Drosophila melanogaster: one gene and its partners. The protein of the gene in region 1 binds, or shares a complex with, the protein of each later gene. Each region holds a gene or a part of one and is shown in the gene's direction. Other genes may lie near its edges. The genes, in order: dgt5, msd1 and dgt3.

Region 1 (3,755 bases):
GGCCCAGGACTGCGCCCAGAAGACTGTGCTGGAAGATGGTGTGCTCTCGGTGATCGAACAAGGGCCACTGCAAAAATTCCATGGGAACAGTAATGGTGTTCCTTTCGTTCTCATAGAAGGGAGAAGTGCGAGCCTTCCTTACGTTATCGTTGACATAATAGTGCCGCAGATCCACTCGAGAATTCCTTGCAAGCAGTCCAGCATTCTGGAGACGGGTACGTAGGGCAAATGCTTCAAGGAGATTGGCCAGGAAGTTTGTCGCGGAAAAGTTCGCACTTCCATAGTGGTTATTATAGAACTCAGGAGATTTCTCCTCAGGCAAATTTCCTATTTTGATCTGAATACCTTCCAACTTTGCTCTTACATAGGCCAACTGGTTTGGCGTAAGCTGCAGGCGATTGGCATCTAAATATTGGCCAAAAGCTGCCTTTAAAGTGGATAAAATCTCCAGTACCTTACTGGTATCCTCCTCCCGGTTTTGGTATATAAATCGATCATAGATGTAGTTCATGCCCAGGGGTAAATAGGCACGCATATGGTGAATGCAGCTTCTTGGATTCCGCTCCCTTGGCTCCGACTCCTCCACTAAAACATATTGGCGTGCTCGAATGTACGTGTCCTTCGGCTCACTGGCGAAATCCCGTAGACAGCGAAAACATTCCCGCAAATACTCAACATCACTCACCTCGAAAGTCAGGTGATAAAGCTCCTCGGTGTGGTTCACGCCCAATAACTCAATAAAAAAGGAATGCGGAATAGGGATTTCCTGCCTTAATTCACTGAAACTCCATGTATATACAACAGGATATTCTGCACGATACTTATCCTGCAGCTGATGCATTTTCTCCACCAGTTTAACCACTCCCATCGAGTACCACGCTTCTTCGTAAAGGCGCATGAGCTGCAAGACACGGCGGTCACTATATCTATCAGCCGGGTCAGGCATCCTTAACTGAATAACCCAACGCATGGAATCATTGGCGGCCACATCAACTCGCTCATCAATGAATACACCATTCAAGCCGTATACGAGAAATTTTTTAGGATGCAAAATCCACTGATTGACCAGTTCTTCGGGACGAGGATTCCCGTGAAGCTTTCGCGTATCCTCCTTGCAGGCCTTGTAGTATTGTCGCATTTGCTTTATCAGTCGGGGTGCCAGTGTATCGTTTTCACCCAAGTGGCTCTCCATGAATTCCACCATGGCAGTGGCGAACTGATCCTCGACTCGCTCAAAGTTGTCCACATATTTAGAGGCACTGGAGAAGCGACCGCAGGCAAAATTCCAGAAATTCGTGCACGGTGATGTTGTTCTATTGAGATTATTGTGAATATCGTTCGACGTTGCCACGTTGATGTCCACTATTGCCTGGATGGGAATGAATAATGCCACCAGGCAAGAGCACAGTAAAAGTAAACATCCCATTAAGCTCGCTCGATTCACAATGAAACAACAGATTATCGCAACGCTCTGCTGAGCTCGGCCACCTTCGAACTACCTATAGAGCTTTGGGGCTGATAGTGACAGCTTGGTCAATACTAGAATTCACATTTGAAATGTAGAGCAATTACCTCTAATGAAATGTGCCTGCCACCTATATAAACCCGCTTGGTGAGTACATTAAACCGATCTTAACGTTTATTGAATCTTAATTACACCGCTGTTGTAGTTCAATCTTCAATCGTTCGCTAAGACAGTTCGCAATATAAAATTGGTAATCGCGTCGGGACTACCCCAACTATATGTCACACGCTTATAGTCTACTTAACAAAACTGGATCTAAGGTGTTCACTTCTTGAACTTTTGCTTCTTTCCCGCATTCGCACCCGCCGTGGACTTTTTCAGCTGGCCGATCTGTTTGGATTTTTGCTTCAGCTTGTTCTGCTTCTTGATGGGTTTTCCCTCGAGAATGGGCACATCGTCGATATCCACTCGCGGCGCCTTGGCCAGTTTGGCGTTTCCCTTGGGCGACTGTTTTCCTTTCGGCTGTGGCTTCGTTTTCGTTTCCTTAATTGCTGATTTGCTAGGGGAGTTTGTGCCATTGGTTGTTGGCTTATTGTCATCTGGTTTAGCTGGTGATCCGGCTCCATTTTCCTTGGGTTGCGATCCTTTGTTCTTTTTATTGAATGATTTCGCATCTGAATTGGAAACAGTGGTTTTCCCATTGGTTTGTTTTTGTTTAGGTGCAGACTTGGAAGGTGACTCGCTTGAATTTGTTTGCTTGTCCGGTGCCTGGGATTTCTCATTTTTCTTCTCTGCTGGCTTTTCTGGCTTTGGCTTTTTGACAGGCTGCTCAAACACCTTGGCCACATACTTGGTCTTGCTCTCTTCCCGCTTCTTTTTCTTCAGTTCCTGTTCGATTTCGGTGAAACTGGGTTTTCCGGCGCGCTTTCCAAGCAGTTTTCGGGGACCCTTCTCCTTTGACGCTACCTCCTCCTCCACCTCCTCAGACTCCGCAGCCGCTTCTGTAGTGGCGTCCGCTTCGATGGCCTCATCCAGCTGCTTTTCATCCTCCTCCTGCTGCTCCTTAGTTATGGGTATGGTGTTGGAGAATTTCTTGAGCTTGGCCACGTAGAACCCGTCCATGTTGTGGGTGTGCGGATAGTAGCGCTTGGTAAGGTTTAAGCTAGGATGGAACCGATGCTGACGGAATTTGGTAAAGCCCTCCACGCCGAAGTCCAGACCAGTGGGCACAAGTTTGACATTTCGCTTCTTCAGTGCATAGTCGATGACCCATTCGTTCTCCTCGGGCAACACCGAACAAGTTGAGTATACAATGTAGCCGCCAGTTGATGACTTCGCATCCGTACAATCTATGGCAGTCAGCAGAAGCTTCCTCTGCAGGTTGTAGCACCTTTGTACATCTACTTCCGACTTGGTGGTCTTCACACTGGGATCCTTAGAGACGACGCCAGTTCCAGTGCACGGAGCATCCAGCAGGACACGGTCAAAGCCAGTCATAATATTCCGGAACTTAGTGCCATCCTCGCAGCTGACCACTGCATTTACAATTCCCAGGCGATGGAAATTGGCAACAATGGCCTTGATGCGATCCCTGTTAGAATCGTTGGCGAAGAGCACACCAGTGTTCTTCATGATGCTTGCGATGTGGGATCCCTTTCCACCTGGGGCGGAGCACATGTCCAGGATGCGTTCGTTCTCTTGCGGGGCGAGTGCCATTACAGGCAACAGCGAAGAGGCGCCCTGGATCATGTAGTGGCCAGCCAGATACTCTGGAGTTGCACCCAGTGGCACCTGTGAGTTAAAGACAACCAATCCAACTTTCGTCCATTTACCAAGGGGATCCAAGTTGACGCCACGATTGATCAGAGCTCCGGCCAAATCCCTACGACGTGTTTTTAGAGTATTGGTGCGTATGGTTAGGGGACGAGCAATCTAAAGGGGTTAATTTTTAATGATTAATCTTGTAACTATATTTTTTATGAAATATACTAACCTCTGAGGCCTCCAGATATTCCATTAGCTCTGTCAGCGGCAACATATCCATCAGCTTCTCCATCAAAAATTCGTTGTAGCTGTAATACAAACACAGATCCCTGCGCAGCAAATCGATGTACTCCCCGCGAGACCTATCCGCTTGACGATACCTTTTGAAGTCGGAAAGAACCAGACTGACGTCCTTTATGCGCTGTTGCACTTCCTGCAGGGTTAGGTCCTTCTCGGTTTCTTCGCCTTCGACGGGTAGCTGGAAAACATCCTGCTTGTCAACGGTTTCCAACATTTCGTCGTCGGC
Region 2 (3,079 bases), on another chromosome or scaffold:
AGACTTTAAAAATCTCGTTAAAGTCGTGCCCAACTCACAAAAGAAGATTTCAGCTAACGTTACTACTGAAATTCATGTGAATTAATATACCACTAACAATTATTTAACTGTAAATTATAGTTGGGAAAGTTACTTACTCATTATTCAAGTATTAAGTATTTTTAGTATTTATTTGCGTAAGTTGAGAAACAGCTTAGTACATTGCGCATACGGTCACACTGCTACCTTGCTGTCTTTTTCTTGCTCCAGCACTTTTACATAATCTTGAAAACTCAGCGTAAATATCGCCCAAAATACGAGACCTGCACTCGTGCACCGTCTGCAGAGATGCGATACTAACCCGCTGCGTTTCCGTTGCAGGAGAACCGAGATGTCGTTCACACAGATCGCGCGCAGCTGCAGTCGACTGGCGGCCACTTTGGCCCCAAGGAGGGTCGCCTCCGGCATTCTCATCCAATCACAGGCCTCCAGGATGATGCACAGGATCGCCGTGCCATCGATGACCAGCCAGTTGAGCCAAGTAAGCGAACGTCCAAAGCGGTCCCTTCCGTTGCAGGAGCCCCAATCGCAGTTGAGGACCTAACCTCATCGCAAACGGCGGGGTTTCGTGATCTACGAGTTTCAAAACATTCAATTAAGTGCTTGCAATCATGAACGCAACAGAAGATCCTCGCCATGTGGCCGTCGAACCACCCAATTCGATTGCATCACATTATTTTGCATAAAACATGATTGTTTCCCTATCGCACACACACACACATACACCTGCAACACCGGTGCTCGCACTTGTGTGCGGTTGATTGTACTACAGTGAAAATCCTCTAGAAGTGACCTTAAAATGTAGCGGTTTTAAAACATGTGATTTCAGTTTGTTAAATATCTAAATATGTTTCCACGCCAATCCAAGCAATAGTTTTCGCGGTATTTAATCAGTTGATCATACACCATCGAACCACCCTCGTTTAAATTGCGTATATATTTACACTGCTCATTGAAGAATTAGCTAAGTTGTATGCACCATAAGTCGTAGATGAACTACCAATGCAATTATTCATATAGAGACGAAAATTCACTAGACATTAACATTCGCAGAAGTTCGGTGTGCGCAGCTACTCGGCCAAGAGCACCATCGAGGACATCAAGTTCCGCGTGCTAAAGGTTGTCTCCGCCTACGACAAAGTGACCGCCGAAAAGGTAAAGTACCCATTGCATGGCGCCACTAATCCGGTCTTTGTTTCCTTCCTTTTTTTCTCGGGCCGGCCAAAAACCAGGAGTGCCGTGGTCGCTGGCAAACGCAATTGGTGCGCAGATACTCGGCGAAACCGCCGCTCTCGCTGAAGCTGATCAATGAGCGCGTCTTGCTTGTGCTCAAGCTCTACGACAAGATCGATCCCAGCAAGGTAAACGCCACATATTGCCTTTGCCAGTGCAATGGTCGCCTCAGAAATCAGAACTGAACAAAGCTGATGAAACCTTTGAATACCCAATGCTAATGGCTCGCATTTACAGCTCAACGTTGAGTCGCACTTCATCAACGACTTGGGACTGGATTCCTTGGACCACGTGGAGGTCATCATGGCCATGGAGGACGAGTTCGGTTTCGAGATCCCCGACTCTGATGCCGAGAAGCTGCTTAAACCTGCCGACATTATTAAGTACGTCGCCGACAAGGAGGATGTGTACGAGTAAATTGTAATTGTAATGCAAGCCATTGAACGGATTACACTTAAATTTAAATAGAAAACAAGTCAAATACAATTTGATCAACTGAATAAACCAAACGTTAAATTAACTTGTAGTCAGCAATTGTACACGAGGGCTATAATTAACTGCGGAATAGCAGCTAATAAATTAACTATCCAAATAAATAAACGAGTCATTTAGTACTGGCGGTTAAATTTAAATTTCGATAGAAACGTTGGTCTTTCGATTGTTTTAGAAAGCCTTGTGTATTTTAGATACGCAGCGACGGTCACGTTAATCTGCTAGCATTACAAACAGAATATTCGAAATGTCAGACGCTGTGGACAAAATGTTGGCGGGAATGGGTAAATATATCTTTAAACCACCGACACGCGTTCTATTCCGTGCTTCCAATTTCAGCGGCCAATCGGCAGACCATGAACCGCCAGCTGGCTAAGATAGACGAGATAATGGAGCGGTCGAACAACACATTGCTCCACATCGAGTCCAACAGCAAGGCATTCAGTCAGAATGTGGCTTTGTCGGAGACCCAGAAGATGTACAACCTCAGGCCGGAGGCTGAGATGACCCTGTCCAAGATCCTGGAGAACTTCAAGCTGCTCATGTCTAGCAGTGACCAGCGGGAGGAGACATACAGCGCTCTGGAGGGCTGCCTGGCCTACAGGCATCGCGTGGAGCACCTTGGCAGCTCCGTGCGTAAGCTGGTGGCGCTCTACGACACCGTGGGCCAGATGAAGAACTCACAGGAAGAGCAGTATGCCAGCGAGGATTCCCCCTAGCTCATCCATTTTTAGAATTTATTATTATGTTATAGTTGAAAAATAATTTAAATAAATTAAACATTTGATTTGTATTTAAAGCTCTTTAAGCGAGGTTTTCAAATCATGGCCATATTGTAGCTGCTGACTTGGAGAAGCGTATAGGTAAGCACCTCTACGAACATCTCCAGGCGAGCGGCAAGACTCCCGGTGGCGAGTATCTCATTGGGATTGGGCAGCTGGAGGCTGTTGGAGCGCAGGTAGTTGAGCTGTTCCATATTGGCGGCTATGGTCAGAAGCTTCTCCTGCTGCTCGGATGTAAAAGCATCTGGCGGAGACTCACCGCCGGTTGGCATGAGCTTTTCCAGCTGCTGCGCAAATCCATGGAGCTGCGTCAGCTTCTGCTTGTATATGGATTCTGTGGTGTCCAGAGCGGCTGCCTCGTCGTAGATCTTGGCCAGCTTTCGCTGGAAACCCTTAAAATCATTGTACACGTCCACGGCACTGCGCTGCTCCTCCAGACGCGTCAGACTCAGCGAAACGTTGGATGTGTTGATGCCCATGGCCACCGACTCGTCTGCTCCTCGCAGGAGCGTTGAGTTGGTACGTTGTAGCTC
Region 3 (3,755 bases), 8.5 Mb from region 1:
ATGAAAAATGGTTTTCCAATCCGTATTCACCACGCGTTTTGCGCGCACTCTCCAATTACGCATAAGCCCCTTTGCAGAAACCGATTAACCGTTAGTTTAGCAAGTATAATTGAATTTTTTATAACAGCAACAGCAAATAAAAAGCGACGGAATTTTTCTCAAAATGTTTTGTACGGTATTTTTTTAGTGACTGCCCGTCGCTGGCCATATTTAGCAGCTCTTCGCTGCGAATGGCAATGGCACTGTTATCGATTAATCGGCCATCCCTATTGGCACAATGATAGTGGGTTTTTGTTTTTTGAAATTTTATTTCACACACTCCGTACATCGGTTACAAAAATCAGGATAGACCCTTAATCAATAATAATGCATCCTTGGGATTACTTGGTCGGCTGCTTCGCTTGCTTCTCCTTCTTGGCAGCCTCGGCCTCCGCCTGTACCTTTGTGTACTTCTCGATCAGCTTCTCCACATCGGGTTTCTCCAGGACACTGTATACGGTCTTATTGTCCACACGCTGCAGCGTGGCCATCTCGACCTTCTCCGGGGTCAGCTTGGTGGTGTCCAGGGTCATGCTCAGTACCTTGATGGCCAAATCCTTGGCGTCCGCCAGCGTCAGCTTCACGTTCTCCTTATCGGCCAGCTCCTGCTTCAGCATGGAGATCGCGGCACCGAAGTTGTTGCCAATACAGGTGGCCTTCCATCCGCCGTAGTTGCCGCTGGGATCCGACTGGTACAGTTGGTAGCCGTACTTGTTGTCCCATCCCATGTAGAGCAGCGAGACGCCGAAGGGACGCTTTCCGCCGTACTGAGTGTACGCCTGTTTGATGTCGCAGAGGTGCGACACCAGCTGCTCGCAGGGAATCACCTCGCCGTAGCTGAACTGGTAACGCTGGGCAATCAGACGCAGTTCTGAGGTCAGCACATTGGCATCGGAGGTGATGCCAGCCACCGAGCAGACCATGTTGCTGAGGGAAAACAAAGAGGCTTGGATAGAGATAGATTCGTAGAGAATGTAGTGGGTAATTAAGATCATGGCCAGTTAAATATATGGCCTGTGACCCTTGAATTCATCGTAGGATATACTACTGAAATTTCAACTCACTCGTTCAGGCGATAGATCTTCTCCGAAGGAATGGCGCTGTCCAGCAATTTGTTTGTGCTGCGGCACTCGGCTGCCAACAGGATGCCGTCCTCGGCGAGGATTCCGAGGCAGGTTCCGGCGTGCGAGATGGCCTCCATGGCGTACTCCACCTGGTACAAACGGCCCTCCGGCGAGAAGATCGTGGTGCGGGAATCATAGCGGCGAGCCTGGGAAAATACACGCAAGTCAATTACTACCACGATTGCTAGCCTTCAATGGTCATCGGCCCAATGGTGGCTCTCAGACCAATACCGGTCTTCTGGGCGCGGTACTTACCATTGCTAAGGAATATACCAATTTACAAGTTTATTTTGCAAAACGAACAGAATTTACTTGTCATTCAGTGTAGGGTTGCCAGACTGCCACACGAAGTGCGTCCAAAGCGGTACCAGGGCTGCAAACTAGATGGCGTTAGGGTGTTTCTATTTACCAGGGGTGGTGTGCACGTTTATCCACATATCGATATAAGGTATTAAAATCATTTTAACAAAGATCAATTTATAAGCCCTTTAAGATTGAGGTGTACTAAAACATAATATTTACTTGAATTAAACTTAAGAACTTGTGTCAAATTTAGAAAAATTGTATCCTTACTTCATAGCAAAAATTTAAAATAATTCATATATAAAATATATATATATAATAAACAGAAATTTATTATATATATATATATATATATATATATATTATATATATTATATATATATATATATATATATATATATATTATATATATTATATATATATATATTTAACAGAAATAGATAAGAGTAAATATTTCATGAAATCGTTGATAGGAAATCAGGAATTTCTACGATTTTTATTAAGCTTAATTATTAAGCACTATTTCCTGTTAATTTTCAAAAGGTACCATCTCTAGTAACGTCTCTGAAACCTTTCGATATAACCGATAAGTAATCAGCTTGTGTTGTCATTTTTTTAAAAGATGGGCGATCTGCTGAGCGTATGTGTGATGATTTAATTAATGATCAGCTTATAATCGCCATGATTGCAGAACTCGGAATTCTTCAAGAAGCTGGGAGTGGACAGCTCGAACCAGTGGATTCTGTACGATGAGCAGATGGAGATGTTCTTCAAGTTCCTGTCCGGGAACATCACGGATGCAAATATCCTCACAGAGCGACAGGTTCTGGAGCGGGAGGAGATGCAGCGGCGGGGCGAGTGGCTAAGTGCTTCGGATCGCGAGCTCAAGCTCCTGCAAATCGAGGCCGAAAGTCCGGGGCTTCTCAACTACAAGCAGCAGGATGTCGACGCCTTGACCATGAGCATTGAGGCGATCGAAGATGCCTCAAGGGATTATGCTACGCTTCTGGAAGATATGATGTAAGGGAAAAACTGTAACCTTCCTCATATATGTTCGATCGATGGTCAATCCACTTTTGCAGGACCACAAAGCACTCGATAACTAAGCACCTAGGCGAGGTGGAGTGCGTCACCGCCGAGTTGCAACTGAGGGAGAAGGATCTGATAGCCGAGTGCCAGTCCAAAGCCAAGCAACTGGAGGAACTGCAGCAGGAGAACTGCCGGCTAAGCGCCGAAGCCAAAAAGGCATTCACCGCCCCACAGTTGCCGCCTCTATTCATGCATCAACTGCCATTGGAGCAGTATTTCCACAAATGCGATTCATTTATGCAATACTTTACTCTGTATGTGAAGGAGAATTTTAAGATCCAGGACTATGATGAGTTCCAGAGCGCGGAGGAAGATCTTGGGCGCGAAAAGGCCAAGCTGGAGGACTTGGAACGTGGGTAAGCACAAAGGTTCTGTGCTAAAAACAATGCACATTAATTGATATGACCGTTTTTACAGCATCCAGTTTTATGCACTATCCTACATAAGAACAAAGGCCAAGGTGAAGGCCACGCAGTGTCTTATTGACCAGTTGGATCTTGGCAAGATTCACTGCCTCAGTTTAACGGACATGGCGCGTGAAATGCACGATCTGCAGCTGCTCAACGACTATCAACTGAGCAATACACACGATACGCTTTTAAACGATCTAACCATTCACATTCAGCAGCACACCCAGCGACGTATTGAGCTGGTTCTCTACGAGAACACTAAACTGAAGTTGGAAAGAGCTGTTCGACGTCATGAAAGCGACAAGAAGCTCACTAAAATCATCTCAGATGCTCTGTCCAATGCGGAATTGCTGTGGATTGCGATCCAACTGGACTGCGACAAGAAGCGCAACTGCCTGGACACTTCGGAGGAGTTGCGCGACCAAGCGCAGGCCACTTGGCAAAGAATCCAGACCATGCGCTCCATTAACGCCAGTTATCAGGGCATTTGTGCCCAGTTTGTGCAGGAGATTGCCAATTTGTTGTCAGCCCACTTGGGACAGAACATAAAGGCAACTGAGGCCAAGGCTTGTCTCTTCGAATACGAAAAGTTCGGTCGCCTGCTGTCTTACTCCTTTCAGAGCATGCTGAACCGAAAGTCGTGTGCTGCTGTTCAGGATCAACTGGCAGAACTGTAAGTTGCAATACTTAACTTTGATACAGATCGTTTAAGCTATTAATATTTTTTTTTAGCAAGCGCTTGGAGCAGACTTTGCGGCCGTTTGTCTATGATTCCCCATTGGAGCAGCCC

Evidence for each region.
Region 2: dgt5 (region 1) and msd1 share a complex: the UniProt entries of both Drosophila melanogaster proteins name them as parts of the augmin complex.
Region 3: dgt5 (region 1) and dgt3 share a complex: the UniProt entries of both Drosophila melanogaster proteins name them as parts of the augmin complex.

Annotation. Positions count from the first base shown.
Region 1 is NT_033778.4:12,469,586-12,473,340, reverse strand, and holds the start of dgt5 (dim gamma-tubulin 5), read left to right. Parts: upstream 1-1,565; 5' UTR 1,566-1,612; intron 1,613-1,618; exon of another isoform or gene 1,619-1,789; coding exon of another isoform or gene 1,790-3,397; intron 3,398-3,458; coding exon of another isoform or gene 3,459-3,755. Other genes in the region: Nepl10 (Neprilysin-like 10), read right to left, coding at 1-1,426; CG8545 (uncharacterized protein), read right to left, coding at 1,790-3,397, 3,459-3,755. UniProt on the Drosophila melanogaster protein: As part of the augmin complex, plays a role in centrosome-independent generation of spindle microtubules. The complex is required for mitotic spindle assembly through its involvement in localizing gamma-tubulin to spindle microtubules.
Region 2 is NT_037436.4:1,329,771-1,332,849, forward strand, and holds msd1 (mitotic spindle density 1), read left to right. Parts: upstream 1-1,973; 5' UTR 1,974-2,011; coding exon 2,012-2,048; intron 2,049-2,103; coding exon 2,104-2,483; 3' UTR 2,484-2,556; downstream 2,557-3,079. Other genes in the region: ND-ACP (NADH dehydrogenase (ubiquinone) acyl carrier protein), read left to right, coding at 371-520, 1,093-1,179, 1,272-1,400, 1,510-1,689; msd5 (mitotic spindle density 5), read right to left, coding at 2,582-3,079. UniProt on the Drosophila melanogaster protein: As part of the augmin complex, plays a role in centrosome-independent generation of spindle microtubules.
Region 3 is NT_033778.4:20,992,657-20,996,411, reverse strand, and holds the start of dgt3 (dim gamma-tubulin 3), read left to right. Parts: upstream 1-2,030; 5' UTR 2,031-2,088; coding exon 2,089-2,106; intron 2,107-2,157; coding exon 2,158-2,486; intron 2,487-2,548; coding exon 2,549-2,911; intron 2,912-2,972; coding exon 2,973-3,638; intron 3,639-3,697; coding exon 3,698-3,755. Other genes in the region: Prosalpha3 (proteasome alpha3 subunit), read right to left, coding at 381-966, 1,104-1,309, 1,419-1,421. UniProt on the Drosophila melanogaster protein: As part of the augmin complex, plays a role in centrosome-independent generation of spindle microtubules. The complex is required for mitotic spindle assembly through its involvement in localizing gamma-tubulin to spindle microtubules.